Macaca fascicularis: one gene and its partners. The protein of the gene in region 4 purifies or fractionates together with the protein of the main gene of each other region. This does not show direct contact. Links are inferred from orthologs where the notes say so. Each region holds a gene or a part of one and is shown on either strand. Other genes may lie near its edges. The genes, in order: U2AF2, GPATCH8, MAGOH, RNPS1, SRPK1, SREK1 and HNRNPC.

What was found.
Region 1: the proteins of RNPS1 (region 4) and U2AF2 purify together in Homo sapiens (co-immunoprecipitation; 6 studies listed by BioGRID and IntAct, counting the BioPlex papers as one, with this or other methods). This does not show direct contact. The link is inferred for Macaca fascicularis from reciprocal best matches to the Homo sapiens genes RNPS1 and U2AF2.
Region 2: the proteins of RNPS1 (region 4) and GPATCH8 purify together in Homo sapiens (co-immunoprecipitation; 4 studies listed by BioGRID and IntAct, with this or other methods). This does not show direct contact. The link is inferred for Macaca fascicularis from reciprocal best matches to the Homo sapiens genes RNPS1 and GPATCH8.
Region 3: the proteins of RNPS1 (region 4) and MAGOH purify together in Homo sapiens (co-immunoprecipitation; 3 studies listed by BioGRID and IntAct, with this or other methods). This does not show direct contact. The link is inferred for Macaca fascicularis from reciprocal best matches to the Homo sapiens genes RNPS1 and MAGOH.
Region 5: the proteins of RNPS1 (region 4) and SRPK1 purify together in Homo sapiens (co-immunoprecipitation; 5 studies listed by BioGRID and IntAct, counting the BioPlex papers as one, with this or other methods). This does not show direct contact. The link is inferred for Macaca fascicularis from reciprocal best matches to the Homo sapiens genes RNPS1 and SRPK1.
Region 6: the proteins of RNPS1 (region 4) and SREK1 purify together in Homo sapiens (affinity purification with mass spectrometry; 3 studies listed by BioGRID and IntAct, counting the BioPlex papers as one, with this or other methods). This does not show direct contact. The link is inferred for Macaca fascicularis from reciprocal best matches to the Homo sapiens genes RNPS1 and SREK1.
Region 7: the proteins of RNPS1 (region 4) and HNRNPC purify together in Homo sapiens (co-immunoprecipitation; 3 studies listed by BioGRID and IntAct, with this or other methods). This does not show direct contact. The link is inferred for Macaca fascicularis from reciprocal best matches to the Homo sapiens genes RNPS1 and HNRNPC.

Annotation. Positions count from the first base shown.
Region 1 is NC_088393.1:63,608,518-63,613,065, reverse strand, and holds the start of U2AF2 (splicing factor U2AF 65 kDa subunit), read right to left. Parts: upstream 3,050-4,548; 5' UTR 2,974-3,049; coding exon 2,925-2,973; intron 1-2,924. UniProt on the Homo sapiens protein: Plays a role in pre-mRNA splicing and 3'-end processing. By recruiting PRPF19 and the PRP19C/Prp19 complex/NTC/Nineteen complex to the RNA polymerase II C-terminal domain (CTD), and thereby pre-mRNA, may couple transcription to splicing.
Region 2 is NC_088390.1:65,460,832-65,464,588, forward strand, and holds part of GPATCH8 (G patch domain-containing protein 8), read right to left. Parts: intron 2,893-3,757; coding exon 1-2,892.
Region 3 is NC_088375.1:181,434,029-181,438,402, reverse strand, and holds the start of MAGOH (protein mago nashi homolog), read right to left. Parts: upstream 2,849-4,374; 5' UTR 2,779-2,848; coding exon 2,691-2,778; intron 1-2,690. UniProt on the Homo sapiens protein: Required for pre-mRNA splicing as component of the spliceosome. Plays a redundant role with MAGOHB as core component of the exon junction complex (EJC) and in the nonsense-mediated decay (NMD) pathway.
Region 4 is NC_088394.1:3,040,669-3,044,997, forward strand, and holds the start of RNPS1 (RNA-binding protein with serine-rich domain 1), read right to left. Parts: upstream 2,834-4,329; 5' UTR 2,776-2,833; coding exon of another isoform or gene 2,774-2,775; 5' UTR 1,582-2,773; exon of another isoform or gene 844-1,581; intron 1-843. UniProt on the Homo sapiens protein: Part of pre- and post-splicing multiprotein mRNP complexes. Auxiliary component of the splicing-dependent multiprotein exon junction complex (EJC) deposited at splice junction on mRNAs.
Region 5 is NC_088378.1:135,782,408-135,786,164, forward strand, and holds part of SRPK1 (SRSF protein kinase 1), read left to right. Parts: intron 1-699; exon of another isoform or gene 700-701; coding exon of another isoform or gene 702-727; coding exon 728-846; intron 847-2,686; coding exon 2,687-2,795; intron 2,796-3,494; coding exon 3,495-3,582; intron 3,583-3,757. UniProt on the Homo sapiens protein: Serine/arginine-rich protein-specific kinase which specifically phosphorylates its substrates at serine residues located in regions rich in arginine/serine dipeptides, known as RS domains and is involved in the phosphorylation of SR splicing factors and the regulation of splicing.
Region 6 is NC_088380.1:71,863,107-71,867,561, reverse strand, and holds the start of SREK1 (splicing regulatory glutamine/lysine-rich protein 1), read right to left. Parts: upstream 2,952-4,455; 5' UTR 2,875-2,951; coding exon 2,714-2,874; intron 1-2,713. UniProt on the Homo sapiens protein: Participates in the regulation of alternative splicing by modulating the activity of other splice facors. Inhibits the splicing activity of SFRS1, SFRS2 and SFRS6. Augments the splicing activity of SFRS3.
Region 7 is NC_088381.1:88,872,631-88,876,387, forward strand, and holds the end of HNRNPC (heterogeneous nuclear ribonucleoproteins C1/C2), read right to left. Parts: intron 3,042-3,757; coding exon 2,928-3,041; intron 2,687-2,927; coding exon 2,526-2,686; intron 2,427-2,525; coding exon 2,343-2,426; 3' UTR 528-2,342; downstream 1-527. UniProt on the Homo sapiens protein: Binds pre-mRNA and nucleates the assembly of 40S hnRNP particles. Interacts with poly-U tracts in the 3'-UTR or 5'-UTR of mRNA and modulates the stability and the level of translation of bound mRNA molecules. Single HNRNPC tetramers bind 230-240 nucleotides.

The DNA of each region.
Region 1 (4,548 bases), on a different chromosome or scaffold from region 4:
ACCCACAGCGTTTTGTCTTATGTTTTTGTGATGCAATTTGAATGTTTGGAAAAGCATCACAATTCCAAAACCACCAACACTCAGAAAAATATGCACCCAGAAGGGAAAAAAACAGAAACAAATACTGAGATGCTTCTGTACTAAATAGCTTTGTTTGTTCTTAATCCTCACTACTGTTTCGGAAAAACGCTGCGGGGGGCTGACCTAATGGGTAGAAAACTAAGGTTCAGAGAGATCACAGTTGCCCAAGGCCAGACAGCTAGGAAATGGTGATACCAGAACGTAAACACTAAAACATCAGTGAGTTAGGCACCAAGTCATACTCTTGAATGTGGATCAGGCAGAACACTCAAGTCTGGCTAGAACCACTAATGACAATATAATTGTCCCCTCGAAGGCCAAAAACCCCAAAATCAAAAACTGAAATTGGGAGGAACAATTGGCAGGACAGGCCAGCAGTGCAGAGCAGCAGGGTAAGCACGCAGGCACGGCACTGGGCACAACTCCACGCCTGTAAGATGGACAGGCTGTGAGCCCCAAGAGCCCTTCCTGCTGCTAAGGCTCTGAAACAGGCAAGCAGGCAGAGAGGAAGCCACGCAGAGAAAGCAATGACGCCCGTTGGGTGCCTGGGACACAGACAAGGAAATTCCCTATCGACACAGGTAGCAGAGGAAGGGACTGAAGCAGAAGCCGACAGGTACAGAGGCTGATGCGTCCTCCACAAAGACCCACAGGCAGAGTGACACGTGGGCAGAGCTTCCCCTATGACAAGAACCCTCTCCCACACACTGATGCTGGACAGGTAAAAACCAAGAGAGCTTCATTTGCTCAAAACACTGTATTGTGGTCATCTTATGGGAGCAGCTCCGGCAACCCAGGAGCCGTGCCAGGTCTCAGGGAGGGCCCTATCAGCACCAAGGGGGAAACCCCGGGAGAACCAGTGAAGCACCATCTGAGAGCCTCAAAGAACGGCCCGATCAGCTCCACTTGGTGGCCCAGCAGAGTGGAACCTGGCCTTGCAGCCAGCCAGAGCTCAGAATCAGTACCTGCTTTTCTGCTTACCAACAAAAACCATGCAAAAACAACTTAACCTTTAAGACTTGGTTTTTTCTCTGTAAACGAGGGTCACATCTACTCCACTCAGGTGTTGTGTGACAGAATGACATTTGGAAAGCACCTTTTCCTGCCCTTTCCCAACTGTGACACAATCTCTGTGAGTGGAAGACCCTCCTCTTTAAGCATGGAATTTTACAATTGCAAATATCGCTTACTGCACACCTAGTGTACACCAAGCCACATGCCACACACTTTACGTTACCCCATTTAATCTCAGCTCTGCCTCTGACTAGCTGAGCCCTGAGAAAGTTTTTAATTTTTCTGAGCCCTCAGTTTCCTCCCCAGTAGAGGTGGAAATCATTTTGACCTCACAGGGCTGTTACAAGGATCCCCTAAATAAAATCACGCTAAGAGTTTAGCGAAGAGCCTGGCACACATAAGCGCTCAGAGTTTAACTACACCTATCGTTACTATAATCCTTACTAATCTTCTCAAAACCGAGTGAGAAAAAATAATAATCAGTCTACAAATAGGAAAAAAAAAGAAAGATAAACGTATTAAAAGTAGTTACTAACCAACAAAGCAAGTATCTAAATCCCTGATGTGCTCAACTCCAAAGCCTATGCTCTTGAACAGTCCATCACCTAAGACAGAGTCAGACCCTCAGTAAACGTTATTTCTTCCCCAGGGCACTGTTTCCTAATACAGCCCCTGGGTTCAAAGGAAAATTCCTTAGCCCTCATTTCGTCCTCCGAACGACCTAGGATCATGGGCAGCTGAAGCCTCAAAAGAAATGAAACAAGTCCCCAACCTTCCCTAGTCCTGTGTTTCTTCACTCTCAAACTGAAACATGGAACAACTCTCCCACTTCTAATATTCTCGGAATCCCTAAGATCAGCAGGGCCCCACGCTTTTTGTTCTCACCCATCACATTCTCGATACCCTGAAAGGAACCTGCCTCCCACCTTCCCCGTTAAGTGAAGAGTTTAGCGCAGTGGGCCAGATCCCTCTTCCTCCCTCAGAACCTGTTTCCTTATCTCTACATCGAGATCTGAGGCTGAGTATTATCAGGTGCCCCGAGTTTGGGATCCTACATGATTTGCGGTTTGTCTCAAACACTCCATATCGCGATTCTCGGGACCGCCAAAAGTTCCGCATATGCAGGATGTGTGCGTGCCGACACTCAAAGAATGCAGATGCTTCAGGGAACATGCGCCCAACACGTTAATATGAGGCGCCCCACTACCAACAGACGGGGCAGAAACCACCTGGCAGAAGAGGTCGCAGCAAATCAGCAAAAAGGAAAAGGGGTATGAGACGGGCTCGTGGCCTCCAAGAGTCCCCCGAAACAGCTCTGTCCTCATCCACGTGAAGGAGGGAAAGGGGGGCCCCCCCGAGTCCTCACAACCGCCATTTTGGAAACAAAGGGGGCGTGGAGACGCGGCCGTGGGCCCGACCGGAAGCGGAAGTGCCAAGGCAGCGGGAGAAAAAGAACGGATTACGGGGCCTAACATAATCTCCTTTTCAGAGAATACAAAAAGATTTTAAAAAACAAAAGTTCACGTCGAGGTACCTGGCGCACTCGCGCCGCGTCCCCCGAGCCACCTCCGGCAGGACCACGTGGGGCACGGGGACAGCCGCCGTGCGCATGCGTCATGGGCCCGCGCCCTGCCGCCCCCTTCCCCTCGCCTAGCGCGCGGCCGAACGCTGGGGATGTCACGTGAACGAGGCGCGCGCCACGGAACCGGGGTTGGGGGGGGTCGCACGGCCGTGAGAGGTGGGGGGAAGCGAGGGAGAAAATGGCGGGGGGGCAAAGAGCGACGCGAGGAGCCGCCCACACCTCCGCCCCGCGACCCCGGCGCCCTCACCTTGTTTATTCTCGTTGAGCTGCCGCTCGAACTCGTCGAAGTCCGACATGCTGAGGCGGCCGCGTAGGGCCCTGTGCAGCTCTCGCCTCGCCTTGCCGCCCGCTCCGGCCGCTTCGGCTACTTCCGCCGCTGGCTTCGGCTACTTCCGGCCGCCGCCGGCGCTTCGCCACCTCCTACCTAATCAAGCCTCCGGCAGCCCTCCCCACCCGCCCGGGCTCCGCCCCCTCACCCGCCCGCCCGCCCGCGAGCTTGCCCCTCCCCCCGAGCCTGGCTCCGAAGCGCGTCGGCTATTTCCGGACACTGGACGAAGGAGACGCAGATGGCAGCTGCGACTGCTTCCGAAAACACCCGAAGGTAGGGTTTCGCCGACTTCCCAGGTTTCCGTAACTTTTCCAAAATTATCTCCTCAACGTTCGGAGGTTTCCGTGTGTCCTCGTGTTCCACTGCGCCCAGCCCCCTCTGCGAGTTCGGGTTCTTCCGACAATTCAATCCGTCCCAGTCTTTGGCTGCTTCCACGGATTTCCTCCGATCTTCTCCGCCGGCCCTGTCCAAGCAATCGGCCACTTCCGACAATCCTAACCGTCCCGGCCTTCGGCTCTTTCCGGAGATTTCCGGAGCTCGCCCTCGGGCCCCTCCTGGGATTAAGCTCGAGTCCAAGTTTCGGCTCTTTCCGGAGATGCCACTTGCTCACTCCGCAGATCAGAGAACTTCGGCTCCTTCCGCCACCGCTTCGTGAAGGCCTCACTCTCCGGGGACAGCTTCGGCTTTTTTCGTGGGTGCTTCGGCTCCTTCCGGCTTCGGGAACGGAAAAGGGAGGGAGGACGGAGGCGAGGTGGGTCAGGGGAAGGGATACAGAGAAGGAGACGAGGTACCGGTTCTCAGCACCTGGCTCTCCGGGTGGGGAAAGTGAAAGAAAAAAAGGACCGGCCTCGCGGAGGGCCTGAGAAGGTTGCGCGAGACAAAAGCAGCAAGAGGGGTGAACGGTGCGCGCGACCGCTGCGGAGGTTGCCAGCGCGGCTTTTTGCGCCTGCGCAGGGTGGAAGCGGCGGGTGAGGGGGAAACAGGCTTCTGCGCCTGCGTAAGTGTCTCTGTGGCGCGCTCTCCCACTGCTCCGGTGAAGGGGGTTGCGGGGACCAGGTTTCAGTCCCCGTTGCGCGTGCGCGAGATTTTCCCTTCCTGGAGTGAAAGTGCTTAATCCCCAACGGTTAAATCCGGCCACCCTCTTGGTTGTCTTGGCAACCGCATCAACGCGCTCCGGCCCCTCCCGTCGCGCAGGCGCAACAGATGGATGATCGCGCAGTCCTTCCGGGAGACAGATGATCTGGCGTTACTGCCCCCTGGCGGCCGGACGGAAGAATCCCCCAGACTTGGCCTGGCCGCTGGGTGGCCTCCCCTGCTCGAGGTCATCGAGTCCCGCCTCTCGCGCCACTCACTGGTCCGGGTAGCCCAGCGGGTAGCGTTTACGCTTTTTACTTTTTTTTTTTTTTTTTTTTTGCGACGGAGACTCTATCGCCCAGGCTAGAGTGCAGTGGCCAGATCTCGGCTCACTGGAACCTCCGCCTGCTGGGTTCAAGCGATTTTCCTGCCTCAGCCTCCCGAGTAGCTGGGACACCTGGCTAATTTT
Region 2 (3,757 bases), on a different chromosome or scaffold from region 4:
TCTTGCTCTTCCCCCCTTTCCAAGCCAGACTCTTCACATTTCTTATTGGGCTTTCGGGTAGCTGGGAGCTTCCCTATCAGTGGAAGGACAGGCTTATTGCCAAGAGATGGGGGGAGCTTGGGCCCAAAGTAACCTTGTGGGGGGTCCTTGAGCTTGGGCCCAGCTTTATTAGGGGTGGCCTGCACCTCCTCACTCACACTAGGTTTCCTCTCCACTTTCCTTGACTGAATCTTCTCCAGTAGCAGTTTGGCAGTAACAGAGTTCTTGTCTTCAGGACTGCAGTCACTTTCTGACCCTCTTCCTGTGCCAATGTTGCTGTTCTGGGAAGGTGGACCTGTTGCTTTACTGTCATCTCCTCTGCCATCATCTTTCTTCCCAGGACCTTCTCCCCGGCCTGATCGGAAATAGTGGGGGGACTGGGAGCGGTAGATCTTAGAACGAATGAAGTCCCGACGCCCAGAATGCCTCTCCTCAGGGCTCTCATGACCCCATGATCCCTTCCTGGAGCCTGATCTTTGGGAAGGGCTCCTGGTGCTGCGACTGCGGTCCCGGCTATAGCTCCGGCTCCGTTGCCAGCTGTGGGCTGTGGTGCTACGGCTTCTCCGCTTGCTCCGACTACGACTACAACTGCTGCTTCGGCTGCGGCCCCGGGATCTTGAGCGCTCTCTGGTATGACTCCGAGATCGGCTTCGGGACTGGCTGCAACTGAGGCTATAGTCATCGTCAGAAGATGAGTATTTGTGCCGTTTTGATCGATGTTTGGAGCTGGCATAGTCTGAGTCATCCGAGTCATGGGAGCGCTTGGAGTGCCTTCGTGATCTGTCGCTGTAGTCACTGTAGCTGTCATCTGAGTAACTGTGCTGTCTACTATAGCAGCTCTGGTCTGAAGAGGCATCTGAGCTACTTGAGTAAGAACGCCGGGAAGAACGATGTGAGGAATGGCGCCGGCCTGACCTTGAGCGGCTGCGGGAATGCTCACTGCCTGAATCTTCTTCTTCTTCCTCACTGTACTGGGATGGAGACTTCTGGTGCAGTCGGTGTGAGGAAGCATCATCACTATCCTCATCTCCACTACTGGGTTGGCTCCGATGGCTAGACCGGCTGCTTCGTTTGGTGCCTGCTCTTCGCTGGCAGGATGAAGGCGGAAGTTCACCTTTGTGTTTCCTCCCACTATGGTCTTGGGAGCTGCTACCACCCCCACCTTCCTCCTTTTTGCCACTGCTCCCCTCTTCAGCTGGGAGGGATCTCCGCTGGGAGTCATCTTGAGCTCGTCGCCGCCTTCTTGGAGGTGCAGGACTGCCACTCCCAGGGGGTTCTGGTTTGGGTCCTCGTTCAGAATCTGCTGGGGCTGATGACTTATTCTTCTTTCGTTTTCGTTTCTTGCGCTTCTTAGACTTCTCCCCCGACTCTGCCTTAGAGCTTTTCTCTTCTGTGTCACCCTTGTGTTTACGTTTGTGTTTGCTGGATTTTTTGTGCTTCTTTTTCTTTTTGTGCCGGTGGGACTTCCCAGATCGTTCTTTCTTGCTGGGAAGGCTTCTCCCTGTGTCTTCTGTCTCAGACCCATGGCTACCCCCAGGCTCCTGCTTGTTCAGGCTACTACAGGCAGACCCTGAAGCAGGTGCGTCCATTCTGCCTCCTGAGGAACGTACTATTTTCTCTCCGCCCACTTCCTTGTTTTTATTTGGCTCACCAGGATCTAGGCCTTGGAGATGGTCCTTTGAGGAGCTTCCTATATCCTTTGGTTTTTCTGTCCCTTTAGTTCTGGCATCTTTGTTCCTTGAAAGTTTAAAGTCAAAATATAAAGGGTTACAACTGTATGAAATGGAGGGTTCTGCCTTGGTGAAAATTAATAGTTCTGATGGCCACTGGAGGGCAGTGCTTTCATCTTTGCTCAAAACTGGGAAGAAGGGACCAGTAGGATGTTTGGGTCCTTCTTGGCTTTCTTTCCCTGCTGGGGTGGCCAGAGAGGTTTCTTTAGAAGAGTTGGACTCACACGTTTGGGTCTCTGAAACCTTCTGACTATGACTCTCTAAACTCTGATCACTTACATCCCCTCCTAAGGCCTTCTTTGCCTCAGGTTTGCTTCCTGGTTCTGAGGGCTCGGTCATGCTGGTTTCCTTCGGCTGCTCAGAGACTTCACTAACTGTCTTTTCTGCTCCTTGGCTTGCTGCCGCCTTGATGCAGCTTTTAGGCTTGGGAGAACTGCCTTTTTTACTCTCTGGGGCATTCTTTGGGTGTGTACTATTATCACCTTCCATTTGTTCACTGGCTCTCATAAAAAGTAGGAAGGGAAAATTAGGTTTTACTTTGCAGTGTGCTGGGGGGATGTAGTGGTAATATTCCGGCTCCGTAGCCCCAGCTCCTTCTTCTCGCTTCATCCTTTTTAATTTGGATAATGTTGAGGCAAGGGACCCTCCATCCTGAGGGTCTTCATCCTCCTTTTTACCATCAAGATTACTGCTCCCATCAGAGTCTCCTACCTTCTGCAGTCCTTGGTCAGAACCCTTCTCATCAGGTTTTGTTCCATCTTCAGAGGTCCCTTCCTCCGCGTGGTCCTTGAAAACTGATGCTATTGATTCGAGTTTGACAGGAGCCTTCTTGGCAAAAGAAAATGACACTCCCAATTTTTGCAATGGGGTCCCCAGATTATTCTTAATGCCAAAGCTGATGCCTTGGGAGGCTAACCCAGGAGCCTGGGCCAGTCCAGTGGTATTAGTGATTTGTACTGCAGTGAAAGGGCCTCCTTTATCTGTGGAAAATTCAGATCCCAGGCCACAAGAAACAGTGGCACCTGTGCCACTATTTGTAGCTGATTCATCTTTATCATCTTCTCCACCTTCTTCATCTACAGCCACTGTGGTTGGTTTGAACATGGGACCACTTCCAGGTGCACTACATGACATTTTAGAAAAATAAAAAGCAAAGAAAAAGCAGGTTTAGGACTACATTCCATAAACCTTATAAAATACTAATCTCTTATATCCTATCATTCATTATAGGTAGGTCTCAAAGACAGTGAGTGGTGGTCATATTCCCTAGTCCTATACTAACAAACGCGACTTTCTCAGAGGAGGTTAGACAAAGACTCATTCTGTTAACCTGCCAAATTCCCAGGGCCAGTCAGTTATTACTGTTTTTTCTTAAGCTGTCTAAAGTACAAAAAGCTGGGTGTGGTGGCTCACACCTGTAATCCCAGCACTTTGGGAGGCCAAGGTGGACAGATTGCTTGAGGTCAGGAGTTCCTAACCAGCCTGGCCAACATGGTGAAACCCTGTCTCTACTAAAAACACAAAAATTAGCTGGGCATGGTAGCACGCACCTGTAATCCCAGCTACTTGGGAGGCTGAGGCAGGAGAATCACTCTAACCTGGGAGATGGAGGTTGCAGTGAGCCGAGATCACACCACTGTACTCCAGCCTGGGTGACAGAGCAAGACTCCCTCTCAAAAAAAATAAAATAAAATAAAGTACAGGCCGGGCGCGGTGGCTCATGCCTGTAATTCTAGCACTTTGGGAGGCCAAGGCGGACAGACTGCTTGAGCTCAGGAGTTCGCAACCAGCCTGAACAACATGGTGAAATCCCATCTCTACTAAAAATACAAAAATTAGCTGGGCTTGGTGGCGCACGCCTGTAATCCCAGCTACTCAGGAGGCTGAGGCAGGAGAATCTCTTGAACCTGGGAGGCAGAGGTTGCAGTGAGCTGAGATCACGCCACCGCACTCCAGCCTGGGTGACAGAGCGAGACTCTGTCTCAAAA
Region 3 (4,374 bases), on a different chromosome or scaffold from region 4:
CAGCACATAGGACCTCCTGAGGCTCAAATGAGTTGTGAAAACATTTTGAAAACTGTAGGATGCTGTTTACATATATTATCATGTGACTGTGCCACACTCTATTTCTGTGATGGAAAAGTTGTTGCTTTTATCACTGAGCACATTTGGTACACAAGACCCTTTGTCCATGTGTGCGTCTAACAGGTTAATGTGAATACATGGTGGGGATGAGGAGAAGATAGAAGGAAACAGAAGACATGTAGACTAGAAGACATACATGTGAGATGAGCCCAGTGAATTTATTCCAACAGTCTCTGTGCTGTCTCTCTGCCTCAAGTTTCTTCACATTCAGTTCACTGTCCATATAGTGGACAAGGTGATGTGGTAACAGATCTATCAGATTAGGTTACTCTAATACTTTGATAAAGTCAATGGCTTTCCGCTGCCTTCCTGGTTAAAATCCGGCCGGGCGCGGTGGCTCACGCCTGTAATCCCAGCACTTTGGGAGGCCGAGGCGGGCAGATCACGAGGTCAGGAGATCGAGACCATCCTGGCTAACACGGTGAAACCCCGTCTCTACTAAAAATGTAAAAAATTAGCCAGGCGTGGTGGCGGGCGCCTGTAGTCCCAGCTACCTAGGAGGCTGAGGCAGGAGAATAGCGTGAACCCGGGAGGCGGAGCTTGTAGTGAACCCAGATCGCGCCACTGCACTCCAGCCTGGGCAACTGAGCAAGACTCCATCTCAAAAAAAAAAAAAAAAAATCCAAACTCCTCAACATGGCATACGGCTAAGCAAAGCCCCTGCCTGCTTTTCCAGCCTCACTCCTGCAATATTCTTCTCTCACACAGCTGGAGTCGAACAACTTGGTTTCTGCCTGAAACATCCCAAGCACTTTTTGGTTTTCAGCCTCTTTGCATGCTGTCTAAAATGCCTTCTTGACTCTTCTTGGTCTCCTAATCAATACCTCACATCCCCTCCTCCCATCATTTTATGTAGGAAGCCTCCTCTGACCCTCAGGCTTGGCTAGGTGCCCCTTCTCTGCTGCAAGTCTCCTCTGTTTCTTTTTACCACAACACCTAATACGCTGTTTGGTCCCTGCTTACAAATCCATCTCCCTCACAGTCGGGGCCTGTCAGATACATCTTTGTGGCCCGCTTAATGGATGTTTTCTGTCATCTTTGATTCCTCTTTCCTTCACCACAGTGCCTCCGCCAAAAAAATCCTATCAACGATCAAAGTCCAGTTGATTCTGCCTCCAACAGTTTCCTAAATCTTTCTCTCCATTTCTACTATCTCTGTAGTCCCAACCGACATCTTTTTTTTTTTTTTTTTTGTGACACAGTCTCGCTCTGTCACCCAGACTGGAGTACACTGGCACTATCTCAGCTCACTGCAACCTCCGCCCCAGGTTCAAGCGATTATCCTGTCTCAGCCTCCCGAACAGCTGGGATTACAGGCATCTGCCACCACGTCCGGCTAATTTTTGTATTTTTAGTAGAGGCGGGGTTTCACCATGTTGGCCAGGCTGGTCTCGAACTCCTAACCTCAAGTTATCCGCACACCTCGGCCTCCCAAAGTCCTGGGATTACAGGCGTGAGCCACTGCGACTGGCCCCCAACATCTTTCTTGTCTTGACAACAGTCTCCTAATCAATAGCCCTGTTTTCACTGTTGCCCATTCCGCACCCAATAACCAGAATGCTTTTTCAAGAACAGATCACATTTCTTCTCTGCTTAAAACCTTCCAAGCCCGGCCAGGCGCGGTGGCTCACGCCTGTAATCGCAGCACTTTGGGACACCGAGGCCGGCGGATCGCCCGAGGTCAGAAGTTCGAGACCAGCCTGGCCAACCTGGTGAAACCCTGTCTCTACTAAAAATACAAAATTAGCCGGGCGTGGTGGTGGGTGTCTGTAATACCAGCTACTCGGGAGGCTGAGGCAGGAGAATCGCTTTAACTCGGGAGGCGGAGGTTGCAATGATCCGAAATCGCGCCATAGCATTACAGCCTGGGCAAAAAGAGCGAAACCCGTCTCAAAAAAAAAAATAAATAAAATTAAAAAAGCCTTCCAAGTCCAAACTCTTTACCCTGGTCTATAAAGATCTACAAGGTGCGGCTCCTACTACCTATCCGACATCATCTCCTGCCATCTCCCAGCTCACCACTCTTCAATCACACTGACCACCTGAGACATGCCTAAGCTCATTCCCGCCCTGCAGCCTTGACTTCTGGTATTCCCTTTGGGTAGAATGGTCTTCCTTGTGAGCTTCACAAGGCTGGGTCCTTCTTGCTAATTAGGGCTCAGCTGCAATATACCATTAGAGCTCTCTAATGGCCAACCTATCTAAAAGCAGCCCATCCAGCGATTCTACCATATTTTCTGACCACTCACTGCTATCCGGAATCATCTTTTTATGATCTCTCTCCCAGCAGTAAAACACAAGTTCCACGAGAGAGGAAGTTTGTCTATCTTCGCTGTCGTATCCCCAAAGAGTGGAACAGAGCCTGGCACACAGTGGGCGTTCAGCCAACGTTTGTTGTATGGATAAAACGACGCCGTGGAGCAGACACAGTGGCGCTCCTTTCAGATCCGCACTGCACAGGTCTCAGCCCCTTCCTCCTCTAGTTCCCCACAGATTTCCGACCCTCGGCCTCCCCACTCGCCCGCCCCAAGGCCTGGTCCCGCTCCGGGCGGGCGGCAGGCTGCTTTTACCATCCGGTCGGAACTCAAACTCCAGGAACTCGTGGCCGAATTTGCCCTTGTGCCCCACGTAGTAACGCAGATAAAAGTCACTCTCCATGGCTCCCAAAAGACAACCGAGCCTGAACTTCCAACAGCAAGCCGCACTGCTGCGGTCTGCGCCCGACACTGACGTTTGCGGCGGCGCGCGGAAGTGACGTCAGATTACGCCGTCGCGTAATGGAGGGGTTCCTTCTAGCTAACCTATTCGCCCGGAAGTGACAACAAGACTGCCACACCCTCTCACGCCTAGGAGGTAACGAACTTTGTTTAACCCGGAGGCGGGGCCAACCAGCTCCGCTTCTCCACTTGGACGCGGGAGCGAGGTTGAGGTTGGTACCCGCTGGGTTCTCTCCCGGCCTGAGGCCGAGAGCCAGCCGCCTGCCTACCTCTGGGCTTTGAACGCGGGGTCTGGTGACTTCGCTTAAAGATCTCGGACCGAACACCCCGAGCCTTGCCCCCGCCAGGCTCAACCTCAGTTCACAGGACCCCCGACTTGTGTGAGTCGTACACCGCTCTTTACCGTCTCTGGACCTAGGTCATCTCGGCAGTAAAATGGGGTGAAATGACCCGACCTTCCCGGAGGATGCCGCGCACGATGTGTGTGCCTCAAGATGGCTTCCGTTGACCTGAACTGTTAAGAAAGCCCTCCTCAGTGACGCCTTCCCTGAATCCACAGTGGAGATTGCCGTTTCCCTGGAACTAGTTCACCCACACTTACCCATTTCGTCCTTTTCCACCTTTTATTTCTATCTTTCTGCCCCACTGATCTCTAGAATAGGTGCTGTGAGAAGTTAGAGTATTTGATCTCCCACTCCCCAGTCATCCCACTTACCGAGCAGTGATTCTCAGCCTGGCTGCACATTGGAATTACCTGGGGAGCCTCTAAAAATACTGATGCCAGGGCTCTACCCCAAGCCAATTAAAATCTCCAGCGCTGGAACTGGGCATTGGTACTCTTTGTAAAGCTCTCAGTTGAGGACCACTGACCAAAGAGACTCTTTTCAGAGCAAAGTTGTCCTCTGTGAAGCCATTCTGGCTCTGGAAAAAATTTACAGTTGAGTAGGGCCAGAGCAATCAAGATCATAATTATTTAATAGGAGCCTGCTCTCACTCGTCTAAGTTCCACACTTAGAGAGAATGAATGGTTCTAGAGACAGTGCTGAGATGACATCATTCTTGGGGCCTGGCAACTAGAACAGTATAAGATTCTGTAAGTCGGGACAGCAGTCTCTGATTCCTACCCCCAGTCTTTTTTTTTTTTTTTGAGACAGAGTTTTGCTCTTGTTGCCCAGGCTAGAGTGCAACGGCTGGTTCTCAGTTCACCGCAACCTCCACCTCCTGGGTTCAAGTGATTCTCCTGCCTTAGCCTCCCAAGTAGCTGAGATTACAGGCACGTGCCACCACATCCAGCTAATTTTTGTATTTTTAGTAGAGACAGGGTTTCACCATGTTGGCCAGGCTGGTCTCAAACTCCCGACCTCAGGCGATCCATCCGCCTCAGCCTTCCAAAGTGCTGGGATTACAGGCATGAGCCACCGTGCATGGCCCCCAGTCTTAACAATGAGTCCTTTTCTCCCTGAAAAAGCATTAGCAGCAGAGTGTAGAGTAGGTGTGGTGGGGGAAAAAAACCATTGGACACTGGTTAAAATAATCT
Region 4 (4,329 bases):
TACCATATGAACATTTAAAAAGCAGAAGAATCATTTTAAAAAGCAGTAATTGCACTGTACTTTAATAATATGCATATTGAGTGTAGGGGAAAATACATGCAAGTCTGCAATTTACTTTGAAAGAAAAACTAAGATTGAGAAAAACTAAGATTGAAAGAAAAACTAAGATTGATAAAAACCATCTAGCAAATACAGCAGAAATATAACTTACAGACTCTTAACCTCTGAGTTTTGTTTTGTTTTTTTTTGAGATGGAGACTTGCTCTGTCACCCAGGCTGGAGTGCAGTGGCACGATCTTGGCTCACTGCAACCTCCACCTCCTGGGTTCAAGCGTTTCTTCTGCGTCAGCCTCCTGAGTAGCTGGGACTACAGGTGCTTGCCATCAAGCCTGGCTAATTTTTGTATTTTTAGTAGAGACAGGGTTTCACCATATTGACCAGGCTGGTCTCCAACTCCTGACCTTGTCATCTGCCAACCTTGGCCTCCCAAAGTGCTGGGATTACAGGCGTGAGCCACCAGACCTGGCCCTTAAGTAGTCTTTATGTGGGTATTAATTGTATAATTTGACGTTCCTGTGCTTTAAAAATTTTTCAAAAATAAGATGAAAAAAAAGTAGGCACTGAAATTGCATGAGAGACTGCCTGCCATGTAAGAGTTTAGCAAAATGCCTGGACTGCAGAATGTGTTCAAATAGCGGTTACTCATTACTCAAAAGCAAACTAATTAGTTATGGGCCCTATTTTCCAGGGACGCCTTCAGTATTTCCAGTAAAGTTCTGCACAAGCTGCAGGAGTTGTTAAGTGCAGCTCTCAGGATGTGAGTCTCAGCTACTTCTGTCTCACCTTCTCCAAGAGCCAGTTGGTAAGGAGGACACAGCACACCAATGGGGTCCTGGTTTCCCTGTGCAGTACCTGCCAGGGGTGCTTCAAAATGCTGCTGAAAACGTGTTCTGACCCAAGAAAGAAAAGCACCTGGCTTTAAACAGTCAAATGAGCCAAGGAGGGCCGAACACCACCTCTGCTGCTCTTGTCCGGGGGTATCATGTTTTGCTTTAGAATAGTAAGGTTCTGCAGACACCCAGCAGATAGTGCCTCGACACTGTTGGTGTCCTCGGACAGTCAGTGAGTATCATTCAGAGTATAATTCAGAGTCTGCAACCAGAGGGCCTGGGTTTGATTTGAGGTTTTACGGTGTAATTTTCGACAAGTCACTTAACCTTTCTCAAGTTTCTTATCAATATGGTGACAATTACAATTCCAACTTTATAGTTACCCAGGGCATTAATGAAAAGCTCAATAATGTTAGGAGCAAGATTTGTAAAGGCTCCTCCCTCCCCCAGACATTTGTCTCCAAAGTCACACGTAATTTCTGAACTCTCAGCAGGGTTCCTGCACTCATCTGCCTTAGGATCACCTGCAGCAGAAATGTCCAATAGAAACAGTGTGAGGAGCCACAAGCATCACCTGAAATTCCTTAGTAGCCACATCACAAAAATGGGTGAAATTTTTAACACTTGACACATCCAAAATATTATCTTTCCAACATATAATCAACATAAAAATCTACTAATAAAAGTTTACTTTTTTTTCATAGTCTTCTAAAACTGGTATGTGTTTTAACATTTCAGTTTTGATGAGCTGTATTTCACATGCTTAGTAGCCACATGTGGCCAATGGCTACTTCACTGGACAGCACAGACCTAGAGTGGAGGTCACACCCGCAGATTTCAGCCCCACCCCCCCAGACTTAAAGATCTGCCCAAATGTACTTTGTGGAATCAAACACCACCAGTTATTCTCAAGCAGTCCAAACACTAAGAACCACTGAGTAAGCGGACGGCTCGCTGGGTGCGGTCGAGTGCTAGAAAGCAAAAGTTGAGGTTCTCTGTTCACCCAAGTTCAGGTACCGGCTCAGGACCTCGGTTACCTCCCCCATCCTCCGGAAAGGTGCGCGTCCAACAGCCAGAGAGAGGAGAGAACAATTAGTTAAATCTCGAGGAGAGGGCGTTTCGGCATAAATCTTCAGAGCACCTTCCCCATTTAAGAGTACATTTCAGGCACAGTTCATGAGAAATCAAGACAAAAAGCCTACTCCACGTTTCTCCTCCATCAACCTTAACCTTCCCGTATCCACCCCTCTGGGATAACCCATCAAACTGAGCTCGGACACCGTGTTCGGTCCATAGTGGGCCGTATCCCCACGGCCTAGCGCCGACAATTGCACACGGGAGTCCGGGAAACGTTCGCGGAGTACACGTTTGAATTAATGACTCCGAAGGATGGATCGGCCGACCTTCCACCGCATCCCACAAAGAAACTCCGCGCCCGCCGGCACCGGCCCGACACGCCGACCTCGCCGCTCCCCGTCCGCGTTCACTCACAACTTCCCCGTCCAGGCGCCGGGCCGCAAGCGCTTCCAGGGCAGCGCCTGGCGTTGGGGGCTTGGGTCTCCGGCCCGGCGGGAGGGCCCCAAGAACGGAGGCCGCGCTCACCGCTGCTCCGAGTCCCGCGGGCCTGGCTGGGCCACCGCCGAGCGGACGAAGCAGAGGCGCCCTTCCGTCCGCGGCGGCCCCGATCACTTCCGGGCCACGGCCTCGACACCTCCCACTCCGCCCGCCCCGGGCCACACTCTTTCTTCTCGGAGCCCGCACCGCGCTGCCAGGCCACCGCCGCACTGCGGGGCTGAGAAGTGGACCGGCTTCACGATGCGTCCTGCCGGGCCTGACGGGCAGCCCCCGAAACACGGATGCGGTCGGATTCCGCCCCAACTTACATCTTCCCGCCGCCACCACCTCCTCCTGCTTTCCTCAGCCTCCGAGGCCGGCGCCGCTCTGACGTCAGAGTCAAGGAGCGGGAAGACGCCGCCGTCCGGCGCGTAGCGATGACGTAAACGCCTGGCCCAATGGGCGCCGGCGGGGAAGTGTTAGACAGTCAAGGCAGTTTGTGGTAGCCGCGTTGGGGACGTTCAGGGTGTCTCCTCGCCGGTAAAGTCCCTGGGACTGACCGGACTGGCTGCACGCTTGCTGGAGCGAGCACATGGGTAGCCTGCTGAGCCTGGGAGGGCCGCGCGATAACCGATGCTCGTCGTCCGGAGCGGAGGGTGTTATCGCGGCCGTGCCCCGCCCCTTTCCTTGCGCGGGCTCCCTGGACCCGCCCGGGCCGATTCTGGCCCCTGTCGCCGGCGGTGGAGGCGGGGCTCCAGGCCCGGCTGTGCTGAGGGCGGCAGGGTGGTCGCACAGGAGGGGTGCGCAGCCTTTGCGGCCTTGCGTGGCGGGGCGTGGGGGCCTGCAGGGCGGAAGTAGCTCGGAGAGACGGGCTGGGGCAGGACTTGCGTTCCTGCGGTCAAAACCCACTGGTGGCGTTTGGGGTGCTCTCGTGGACGCGGCCTCCGCGCAGGCGGACCTCCAGGGTGGGCGCTGCAGGCGGGCTGTGCGGGCAGGAAGAGCAACGAGCTTGAGGATGGGAGATGGGGTGCAACGGGGGGCGTCTCCGGGCAGGTGACACTGCCGCTGAGACTAGAGTGGAAGGGCGCGCCCGGCGGGGGAACAGCAGACGCCGAGGTTCGCTGGAAGCAGGGAAGGGAGGCCGGGGCACAGGCTCGCAGGCCCGCGCCAAATTCTCAGTGGAGGCAGCACGGAGCGTGTGAACGGCGCAGCGCCGAGGCTTCATCTAACGGCCGGTGCAGGGTCCGAGCAGGGAACACTGTCGACCAGGGTCCGACTCTGGGAGAGTCCAGAGGTGGCGCCTCTGGCAGGCACAGAGGAGGGGGTGACGCTGTAGGGGCCCAGGCAGGAGGCTCCGCGTCAACGCCCCACACTGACGCGGCGGAATTTTTTTTTTTTGACAGAGTCTCGCACTGTTGCCCAGGCTGAAGTGCAGCGGTGCGATCTCGGCTCACTGCAACCTCCGCCTCCCGGGTTCAAGCGGTTCTCCTGCCTCCGCCTCCCGAGTAGCTGGGATTACAGGCACACACTACTACACTCGGCTAATTTTTTGTATTTTTATTAGAGACTGGGTTTCACTATGTTGGCCAGACTGGTCGCGAACTTCTGACCTCGTGATCCGCTCCTAGGCTTTCAGGCTCGCTCCAAAAGTGCTCGCTCCTAGGTTCGCCTTGGCCTCCCAAAGTGCTGGGATTACTTTACAGGCGTGAACCACCGCCCCCGGCCGGGTTTTGTTCACTGCTGTGCCTGTTAGGTAGTCGTTGCCCTTTGATTATTTGTGGAGGGATTGACTGTGTGCTCAGCTTCCGACTTTGAACAGCTTCCTGGCAGCAAGGAAGGGAGAAGGAAGCAGATCCAAGCGGATCTTTGGGAGGAGACAACCAGC
Region 5 (3,757 bases), on a different chromosome or scaffold from region 4:
ACGGTGAAAATCTTTTTTTTTTTTTTTTTTTTTTGGAGACAGAATTTTGCTCTTGTTGCCCTGGCTGGAGTGTAGTGTATCTCGTCTCACTGTAGCCTCCACCTCCCAGGTTCAAGCAATTCTCCTGCCTCAGCCTCTCAAGTAGCTGGGATTACAGGTGCCCACCACCACACTGGGCTAATTTTTTGTACTTTTAGTAGAGATGGGGTTTCACCATATTGGCCAGGCTAGTTTCAAACTCCTGACCTCAGGTGATCCACCCACCTCGGCCTCCAAAAGTGCTGGGATTACAGGCATGAGCCACCATGCCCAGCCTGCATGTTAAGATTTAAGAGATTTCATAGAAATTAAAAAAGTTTATGATAGAAAAAGCCAGATGCAAATTTGTTTATATAGTATGTGATTACAGATAAATATTTTTATGAAGATACAGCAACATAGTGGAAGAAGATTCAGTAGTTTATCAGTGATTATGTTTGGATATTGAGATTCAAGTAATTTTTCTCCTTTGTACTTTTTAATATTTTTCAGATTTATCATGTACTGAAGTTGTAAAGTATTTTTCTAACATGAGGTAAAACTACAGCTAATGTTTTCCTAGGCAGCCACTTGGTAATACTCTGTTCGTATTATCTGAAGATTTAGTTTTTTGTGGGGAGGGCGGCATTTGATAATGTCTTATTTTCTTCTGTCCAAATGGAATGGGCATTTTTGTATCATTTCTTAGATCTGAAACTCAGCACCGAGGCTCTGCTCCCCACTCTGAGAGTGATCTACCAGAGCAAGAAGAGGAGATTCTGGGATCTGATGATGATGAGCAGGAAGATCCTAATGATTATTGTAAAGGTAAGTTCATAAGGAGGTATGAAGTGAGACATGATCCATCTATTTGCAGTTTCTCATTTGGATGTTTGATCTATCAGCATAAACACAGTTTTATTGGTGTTTACTTGTATCCTTTTCTCTAAAACTTAGGAAATAGTATTTGTTCTTAGTCTGACTTAATTTATCAAAGCCTGATTTTATATTAAATGTTTTTACCTTTTTCCTCTTTAAAAGTTATAATACATATTTACCTTAGAAAATTCCAGAGCTGTGTTAAACAGAAAAGAATGTAAAAGCCTTCTGCAATGCTATCAACCACATATAACCATGGTAACATTTTGGCATATAGATTTTTACAAAATACCTTCTTACTACTTTTTTTCTCATAGTGATGGCTGTTAAGTTAAACTGGAATTACAGACACTTAAATGGTGTCATCAGGTTGCCTGTTACCTTTTCTGTTTCTTGATGAGACTTTCCGGAGTCTTTGGGTAGGAACACAAAATGGAATGTATCATACCATCTAGGAGAAGAACGTGGCCCTTATTGTCAGCTGGCAAAGATAAATATGAAAATACCTTGATTCTTGCCACTGTTGGCAGCTTTTTTGAGGCCTTCCTCTGTTTTCTGCTTTTTAGGGTTTTTTTTGTTTTGTTTTTTGAGACAGAGTTGCCCAGGCTGGAGTGCTGTGGAGTCTCAGCCTACTGCAGCCTCTGACTCCTGAGTTCAAGCGATTCTCATGCCTCAGGCACCCACCACCACGCCTGGCTAATTTTTGGGTTTTTTTGTTTGTTTTTGTTTGTTTTTTGTGTTTTTGTTTTTTTGTTTTTGAGAAGGAGTCTCGCTCTGTTGCCCAGGCTGGAGTGCAGTTGGTATGATCTCAGCTCGCTGCAACCTCTGCCTCCCGGGTTCACGCCATTTTCCTGCCTCAGCCTCTAGAATAGCTGGGACTATAATCGCCTGCCACCATACCCGGATAACTTTTTGTATTTTTTCAGTAGAGACGGGGTTTCACCGTGTTAGCCAGATGGTCTCGATCTCCTGACCTTGTGATATGCCTGCCTCAGCCTCCCTGCTGGGATTACAGGCATGAGCCACCTCGCCTGGCATTTGTTTGTTTGTTTTTGTTTGTTTTGAGACAATCTCACTCTGTCGCCCAGGCTGGAGTGCAGTGGCACGATCTCAGCTCACTGCAACCTCTGCCTCCTGGGTTCAAGCAATTCTCCTGCCTCAGCCTCCTGAGTAGCTGGGACTACAGGCACGCGCCATGACACCAGCCAATTTTTGTATTTTTAGTAGAAGACACGGTTTCACCATGTTGGCCAGGCTGGTCTCGAACTCTTGACCGCAAATGATCCACCCTCCTCAGCCTCCCAAAGTGCTGGGATTACAGGCGTGAGCCACTGCACCTGGGCTATTTGTTTTTATTTAGAGGAACAAAATCCCGTTTGCTTACTTGTTTTTGTTTGTTTTGTTTTTTGCTAAATAATTATTCTGTCTCCTAAAAAACACCTGAGACTGTAATTATAAATAGATATATATTAGATATATATGTTTAGATAAACTTACTGGATTATTGAGAGACAAGAATATTGTGATATACAACCTTTTTATTGTTTTTGGATGAGCCTGTTGTAGGCTCAATCTAAATCATTAATCTTATTCACTTTTTTTATAACATGAAGTCAGTAATACTATGTGGCTGATTTGACTATTAAGGCTTTCTTCTGTTGAATTGATTGTATAAAAGAAACTTTTTGTTGATAAAAGGTATATAGATGTTGAAAAATGTGATGTAAAAATGCCTTTTCTTACCATTGTTTCTCGTCCTGGTTTTTCTGATTTCCCCTGTGTCTTCCAGGAGGTTATCATCTTGTGAAAATTGGAGATCTATTCAATGGGAGATATCATGTGATCCGAAAGTTAGGCTGGGGACACTTTTCAACAGTATGGTTATCATGGGATATTCAGTAAGTTTTAGTGGTTCTGTAAAAAAATTAGTTAGATGATGTCTAAATATGTTTGTCTGAGTTTCCACTGCTGATCCAGACTTCAATCTATCTCTAGCCTGATACATTTATCAGAATTTTGTTGTTGGCAATAGTCTCTATATTCTTGGAGAAATCACTTTTCTTTCGTGAAGAATCGGTATTATATATCTCCCTTTCTACTTTAGAGACAAGAGTGATTAAATTAATGCTGGTAAAGCTTTTGTCGTTTGATTTTTTTGTTATTTTTATCGTTTTCTTTTCACCCAAATATTTCTTCTGGCTGCCTGTGGGAAAATATTACAGCTATTAACCTTTTAGTTTTTGCCTATATACAGATACACAGAACACTTGGAATTTGGTAATATCTTTCCCCTTATTTATCCTCATTTTGAAGTTTTGCTTGAAATTCAGGGAGATATTCAAAAGAAGGATTTTAACTCAGAGAAAATGTTCAACAACTGAGATTATCTGAGAACAGATCTTTTATTCTTCCTACAAATGAAATCTGGCCAGTTAGCATCATTAACAAGTACAAATGTTCCCATAGAAGTAGCTTGTTTGGGCTACAGGGAAACATGAAATCAGTATTTGTCCTTTTTAACCATCTTATAGCTAAACCTTAGCTTCCTAAAGTAAGGGTAGGCTATGTAGTCTTAATTGCCTGTGTTTGTTTCTTAGGGGGAAGAAATTTGTGGCAATGAAAGTAGTTAAAAGTGCTGAACATTACACCGAAACAGCACTCGATGAAATCCGGTTGCTGAAGTCAGTGAGTATTAGATTATATGTATGAATGCAAAGAATTATAAATATATCAAGTTTCATTGAATTAAAGCACACCAAGTGGAGACTCCTCAGCATGGATAATTTTCTCTATAAAGTTCTAGTATCCTTAAAGAGGTTAAGGAAGACAACAATATTTACACATTCCATGCATGTAGTAG
Region 6 (4,455 bases), on a different chromosome or scaffold from region 4:
TTATCAACTGGCAGCACAAAAAAAGGATGACAAATTGCAAATAAAAATTAATGCTTACAGTGAATGTTCACAAGAATTCCCTAACCTTAAAAAATTCTTAACGTTTAAAATATAAAGATGAAACTCAATCACTGCATCATGCCAAAAGAATTAAGTTTAAAATCTGAATTTTCATATTAGCAACTTAGTCATTTTTTGTTTTTAAGAGATAGGGATCTCAATATGTTACTCAGGTTGGAATCAAACCGTGGGCTCAAGCTATGCTTTCACCCACCACAGCCTCCTGAGTAGCTAGGACTATAGGTGCACACCACCACACCTGGCTCAATCATAAAATTTAAATGAGAAACTATTTTCACATTCTATTACTGTATTTCCAATATACTTGGAAATATATATATGCAAATAAATATATGAATATATTTCCAATTTTAAAACGATTTTCTACTCGGTTCTAAAGATGTCATAAAATAATTTATGTGACACTGTAAAACAATATATTTTCAATACAACTACTACTATTGCAATTTTTATCCATTTCGGTCCAAATCTGCAAACACGTCTTCTAATATAAGGACCAGGCAATGACAACTTCATTACGAAGCAGAAAACCTGTGAATAAAGCATGTTAATACTGCTTTAAAACATGAATGAGGGATCTAGTATTGCACTTACGGAAAAACTAGTTAAGGATTTTGCCTGGCCCATATATGTTACATGTATGCAATAATTTTGTTTTATGTGTTACAGTTTGTGACACACACTACCGTAATCTTCCATATGTTTAAGTACTTTTTATTCTCTTTGACTTTTAAACTCCAAGTAATAACACCTGATTTCAAAAAAGTAGCCCATTACTGTCAGTTAATAACTGGTAATGTGTTGTCACCCAAACCCAGGTTTCAACCAAATAAATGTTATGTTGATAATGAAGAACATTCTGCAATGTATTTCTTCTACCTATGAGATACCATATTACCACAGCCTTGAAAGCAAGATTTACAAAGGTTCATGTACAAAATATTTTACTGATTGATTCCAATGCCTGCAGGATACGGCACTCACCCCAAATAATTCTCAATTATTAAGAAATGTTCTGAGAGCTTAAATTGAGATGGCTGAAAGCATTTCCAAAAGTTAATTAAAGCAATAATGCCATGGTTAATCAATCAAAATGTATGTGCGTGCACTTATGCAGTATTCTCGTCAAAAATGTACTACCTGAATCTCGTCATGAAGAAATATAAAGAGAGAGAGATATATATGCACATATCTCTATATATCTCATCTATATAAACTCAGATTATGGGTCATTTTACAAGACAAAATGAACTACAGAACAAAATGTCAATGTCACGACTTTCAAATGTTTTAAAAGGTGACGGGACTGTACCAGATTAAAGGAGATAACTATTAATACGTGGATTACTTGGCATATTCAAGGGAGACAGTATATCTAATTATATACTACATCAAAAACAGACAAAAAAGCATTATTAGAATAACTGGGGAAATTTTAATAATCAACTGTAGCCAAAAAAAGACAAAATGCTCGTGAAGGGAACATGGATGTTCAATGTATTACTCTTTCAACTTTTCTGTATGGATGAAATATTCCAAAACAAAAAGCAGACAAGAAAAACTTAAAAAGTAAAAAATAACCACACAACTTTTACATAGCTATGCAGCAGCACTGTTATAACCTAAGATAGAAAACTAAAGAAAAACAGGTCTAAATGCATCACTAGGAAATAAATCAATTTCTTTTTTAAAGGAAGAAATCTTGGGTAACAATTACCCCTTCCCTCAAAGGATTTTGATATAACGAACAAAAAACAGAGGATCTTAATACTGTAAGATCTACTATCAAAAAAAAAAAATGTTTATGTGTGCAAGAATGTGAACAACCTGCAAACCCCTTGCGAGTTTTCTAAATAGATAATATCGTACGAGGGAAATTTTACCATTCCAAAATACACCATCTGGGAAGTGGCCGCGAGCCGTGAATGCCAGCCAAGATCTGGATTTTAAATGTATACGGCAGGGATAACCCTGCACCGACTGACACTTTTTCTGAAAGCTCTGGGACAGTGTGACCTTTCAGGAGAAAAATTTAATCTGTTGCCAAAACGGCGAACAGACATATCTTTGGGAACATGGATGCGCTCGGTTAGATAAATCAAGATGCTAAGTTTTGTGTGACCGTCCTGGGAAACAAATACAGCCCCAGTTCCATCTTGTCATCAGCAGCAGGCTTTCTCGTCAGCAAAACGGCCTGACACCAAGGCCTTAAAAACCGGACAGTGGCTCACGCGCGGTCCCCGCGATTTTCAGAGTGCAAAAACGCGATGAGGCGTTTGCCATAAGGCTGTTCCGGGCCCACCTGCGGCCATCTTAAGTTCGGGGGGAAATGAGGAGGAGGGGGCACGGAATTCGAAGACCCATGAGCTAACACAAGTCCCGGAGGCACGGAAAGGGCAACCATTCTAAATCCTTGGTAAGGGCTCCGTGCAGTAGTTAACCCCCCAAATCCGACTAGTAAGGAGAGCCGGACGGCGGAACTCGGTGCCGTAATCAAATATGGGCACTAAGGTAAGCCCGGGCGATCACGTGACACGCACCGCGCGCCCGCGTCCGCGCTCTCCCCCACGCCTCGGCTCCCGAGGTCTCTATGGCGCCCGCGCCCCTCCCCCAGCCGAGCACCAGCACTTACTCCGGGGGGTAGAGCCGCAGCTCCTCGATTTCTCCTAGGAAGGAAAAAAGCGTCCGCATCTGCTCACTGGTCACCGCCGACGACAGATTCGTCACCTGAATCACCGACGTGGGGGTGAGGCCGAAGCCTAAGCCCAAACCGAAGCCGCCGCCGCTGTTCATCCCGACCCCGCTGCCGCTGCCTTCCCGCTCCCCAACGTCTACGACGCGTCAGCGACGGAACCGGGAAAGCGGAGAACGCGCGGCCGCGAGCGCGCTCCCGCTGGCGAATTCACAGCGCCGGGCAGATCTAGCCGCCCATTTCACAACTCCCCTGCTCCCGGGGCTGCGCGCGCCAGCCGGAAGCGTCGCCCCGGCAACCCGGCGGGTCTCGCGGGGCTGCGGCTTCCTGCTCCCGGGTGCCTGGGGCTGTTGCTGCTGCTGGTTTCTCCGCGAGTGTTTTGTTTTTCGGTGTTTTTGTTTTCCCCAAAAGTCGATGCGAATCTTGTGCTCCTGTCTACCCGGTTCCTTCCGGTCTCGGACTGGGAAACCAAGCGGCCTGGCCTGCTGGTGCGGGACTGTAAAGGAGGAATGACTCTTGGGTAACACAGAAAAACACTTGACCAAACTATAGGGCATCCTTATCACATACAGGCAGCACCCCAACTCCAACTATTTAAAAAAATTGGCAAGCGTCCTAATTGTGAAAAAAACAAAATTTTACAAAATGTGTAGGTTCAGGTTGAATTAAGGAAAGAGGCAGTAAGATGAAGGTTTATAACCTGTATTTACTCGCTCTTTCCACAGGTATTGATGTTTATTGAGTACTATGTCCCAGGCACTATGAGGCAAGGGCACGTTACAGACAGTTCACATAGAACTTGCAAACTAATGAGAGACAACAGTAGTGAGTCCAGGGCAGCTGCTCCCAAAATGCCCTCCGCAGATCCCTAAGGGTACCGAGACCTTTTCAGTGGGTTGGCAAGGTCAAAACGATTTTCATAATAATATTAAGAGTTTGTTGACCTTTTTCACTTTGTTGACATTTGCACTAGTAACGTGAAAGATTAAACTGCTGACACCTTAACAGCAATCAAGGCAGTGGCGCCAGTCTGTACTGGTAGTTGCATTTTGTATTCTTCACATCATACAACATTTCAGGTTTTAAAATATGCTAGTTTCACTTTAAAAATGTCCTTCATAAAGAACTAAAAATTATATATATATTTTCAAATCCATCCTTGCATACACGTCTTTTAAAGAATATGTGTGAAAAAATGGAAACTACTGCCGCTACATGCCCAAGTGAAATGGTTGTCTCCGGAAAAAGCACTAGTGTAGCTCTGAATTTTCACGGGAAAATACAAATTTTGTTACACTTGTATCCACCAACTTAAGCTTGACAGCTTTCCAGTACTTAGAGACTTTTCTAGTAAGAGAAGCATGATATTAACAATTTATTTTTGACATTATATAATGAAATATGTCAACATTTTTGTGATTTTTACAACTTAGTGGACACCTATTATTCAAATGGCCAGTGGGTGCCGTTACAAAGGCAAAAAGATTCTGGTATGTGCAAGATAGACTGTTGGATTTCAGTACTTAATTGAAGTGGTTTCAGATTCAGTCCACACTGCAATGCAGGCTAAGAAACTACCACATGTAAGTTTGGTACAGTATCAAAGAATAATATCTAGAACTACTTGGAAAGGCTATAAAATAGTTTTCCTTTTTCCAACACCTTATCTTTTTGAGATCAGA
Region 7 (3,757 bases), on a different chromosome or scaffold from region 4:
TTTTCAATGTGTGATCATGCTCTACAGCTATCTGCAAAAGTAACTGCGGCTAATTAAAAGTAATGGCAAAAGGCACAATTACTTTTGCACCAACCTAATATTAAGTGCTTTCCACAGCTTCATTCAATATCTGCTTTCCTACAGAATTAAATGTATAGTTGGCCCTCCGTGTTCGTGGGTTTTACACATGCAGATTCAGCCAACTATAGATCGAAAATACTAGTAAAGAAAAAAAAATTAAAAAGTAACAATACAAATAAAAGTAGTTACAACTATTTACATACCATTTACATTTTATCAGGTATTTTAATGTAGAGATGATTTAAAGTATACAGGAGAATATGCATAGGTTACATACAAATACTATGCCATTTTATGTAAGGGACTTGAGCATCTGCAGATTGTGGTATTCACAGCTAAATAGACTGCTCTGTGCGGGGAAAGAGGCCCTACAGTGAAGTGAAAAGTAGACACTTGATTGTGGACTAATTTTTCCAGTATTTCCCAAAAACTTACAGCTAACAACATAATATTAAACATGTTTTATTAGCATCTTATACATCTGACACTCTCTCCTAAGCATCCAGTTTATTTTCTAGTCATGGGTTACTTACTAAAAGTCTATGTAACATGAGCTCACATCAGATCAGAAAACATCAAGTGGGTAGTATTTTTGACTGAATTAACATACAAAAGAAATTGCCTATATCATGTATATGGGCTCCAAGGGTAGTTCATAGTTCAGCCTCTTCATTCTTTTCTGCTTTTGTCACCTGATATAGAAAATGATCTATAAAATCCTTATAAATAAGACATGAGTTTCGCCTGTAATGAGTAGGATGAAAAAAGGCCAGTGCTGCATGCTATGAAACAATAGCAACTTTATAGGGGAATCCAAGGTTTGTGTGCACAAAAATTATAAACGCCATTTTCTGCTGTGCTGGAAAAACTGAAGTTTAAAACACAAATCAATTAAGCCTTTCAAGGATGAGGTATCACAACACTGGTAGCTGTTTAATATATTCATTTTAAGTAAGACTGGATGCTAAAAATACAATAACTGTAATTAATAAAGTTGAGGGAAAACACAAAGATCAGCTAATAGGGGTAAAAGATCATTTAGGGTAAAATAAATGTAACATTCTTTATGTTCTCAATCACCTGGGAAGGCAAGACTGTGGAGTATCAGGAAATAAGAGTTTTCTCGTTTTCAGTAACATGGAGATATACACTTCAGAATTCAGAAGGTAACTGAGGCTATAAATAGTAATTAAAAGAACAAAACAGAAGAAAGCAGGGAGTTCCATTGTCCAGCTGTTGCAATTTTCCTGAAATCTTGTTTTTGAGTCTCTCCTATTTAAGGACAAAGCAATTTAGCACACAACAAAAACCTCAAAAAGGGTGCCAGTTGGACCACAAAGCACTGAACTTTCATTAGGATGTAAAAGCCATTTTGAAAAACAATCGCCACTGTATGTCAAGTTATTTGACTCCTCAATGCAACATGCAACTCAATGAAATATAATTTGAGTAGTGTTGTGTTGGTATGTATCATGATTATGACTCCAAGAAAAATGTATCTAGTACATTCTAGAGGTTTTGTGGAGGACGCTGTAAAACAAAGTTTGAAGTAAACAATAATAAAATACAAAAATAAAAAACCAGGGTTTTTTTTCTCCAAATTCCTGGTTTAATAAGGACTTGTTTATTTTGAGGAAAAAAGGTCCCAAACATCAGGCTGTTCACAAAAATAACCCACAGTATCAACTTTAGAAAACAAATCTTAAGACTATAACACTAATTATTTTTCTAGAGGATGCATTTGACATGCCAACTCTCATTCACAAAAATACATTGTTACATTTGTGTTGAACTGCCCCACACAGCACACTAATGTGGGGGTGTAACACACATACTTCTAACTCAAAGCTGCTTTCAGAAGCTACTCAACTAAATGAGATTGCCTTTGCAGTTAGGGAAGCAACTACTGAACTTATGTATGAATGAAAAGAACTGTACTCCCTGCATAACAAGAGATTATTTTGGAGACAGTTGATAAAAACCATACATCCTTTTTATTGTTAAGTCATAAAGAGGTATCAAAATTAAAAGCAAAAATTACAGGGTAAGACTTAACAAAACTACTAGGAGCGTCAAAGGAAGTGAAAATGGGACTAGGCGCGGGGCAATATGAATTAATGAACATGGGAAGGACAAGGATGGGGAGAACAGTGAGCATGTGCTGAAGATACTAGGGGAGAGGATCTGGTGAAAAATTTGATCTTAGACAAGCGCCTAGGTAAAGAAATAATGGGATAAGATTTCTAAACCCCACTATGTGCTTAAGAGTCATCCTCGCCATTGGCGCTGTCTCTGTCATCCTCTCCTTCCTCAGCCTCTTTTTCATCATCCTTGATCAACTCCAGCTGTGAGAAACAGACACAAATAGGATGGAGTTAGAGGCACTCCATGTGTCCCTGAGCCCCCCTCCACCACCTTTTTCTTTCCTTTCCCGTGGTTTTCACCTGGTCATCCCCCCGATCTTCATTATCATCATCATCCAGTAGGTCCCCCTCCTCAGCAGAGTCATCTGCACCCCCCTCAGACTCCATCTTCACATTAGTCTCATCTTTCTTCACGGAGCTGCTGCTCTGCTCCTCTTCTGACTTATCGTTCTTCATCTCTACTGGGGATGAGAAGGACAAGTCTGTCTAGGGGCAGTAATGTCCACAGGATGTAGACAATCCCCACTAAGGATCACAGAACTGCAGCACAAATCTAAATCCTCCCACACAAATACCCTTCCCAATTCACACTCCCCAAGTTTCATATTACATTGCTTTATATTCCACTATTCCAACATATACTTTAAAGTGCCTTACGTAACTAACCCAACTATATACCCAACAAGCAGAAAACCCATTTACCTGCTTGTTTGCTCTGTTCCTTTTCAATTTTTTCCAGGTTTTCCAGGAGAGAATCCACTTTTTGTTTTATCTGGGTCAACTCCTTCTTAATGGCCTGAAGGTCATCTCCTTTCACTTTAACATAAACAAAATAATGGATTAAAATCAAATGTACAGAAGATATGAGTTAGCAAATACACTGGCACTAGACTACATCAGGAGCACCCAGGGAGAAACAGAGCCAGTACAGATTTCCCTGTAATAAAGGCCCTTGGTTCTACTATAAAGCTTATAACTACTTACTGTAATTTTTTTTTTTTTAGTATCTTTTAGACTTGGGTTATCGCTACATTGCCCAGTTCTGAGTGCAGTGACTATTCACAGGTATGATCACAGTGAACTCCTGGCCTCATGCAATCCTCCCACCACAGCCTAGATCCCCAGGGTCTTAGCCTCCCCCTAAGCATCTGGGGCTACAGGCGTAAGTCACTGCATCAGACCTTCTGTTGTTTTACTGCCTTCCATATTTCCAGTTACAGGAGTTCAATACAGAAAAGTTTAAAAATCAATATATTGAACACTATCTGAATTTTAGTTTTTAAATAACCCACAAAAAAACCCTCAGAAACTTAACACACACCTCAACTAAATAAAGTCAAATGACATCTTTCAAATCACCTAGCTGTTGCAGTCTAGAATTGGCCACTCAGTCACAATCTCGTCTCCTCCATTATTTTGGATTTTTAAAATTATTTTTCTTGAGATGGAGTTCGCTCTTATCACCCAGGCTGGAATGCAATGGCACAATCTCGGCTCACTGCAACCTCTGCCTCCTAGGTAAAAGCGATTCT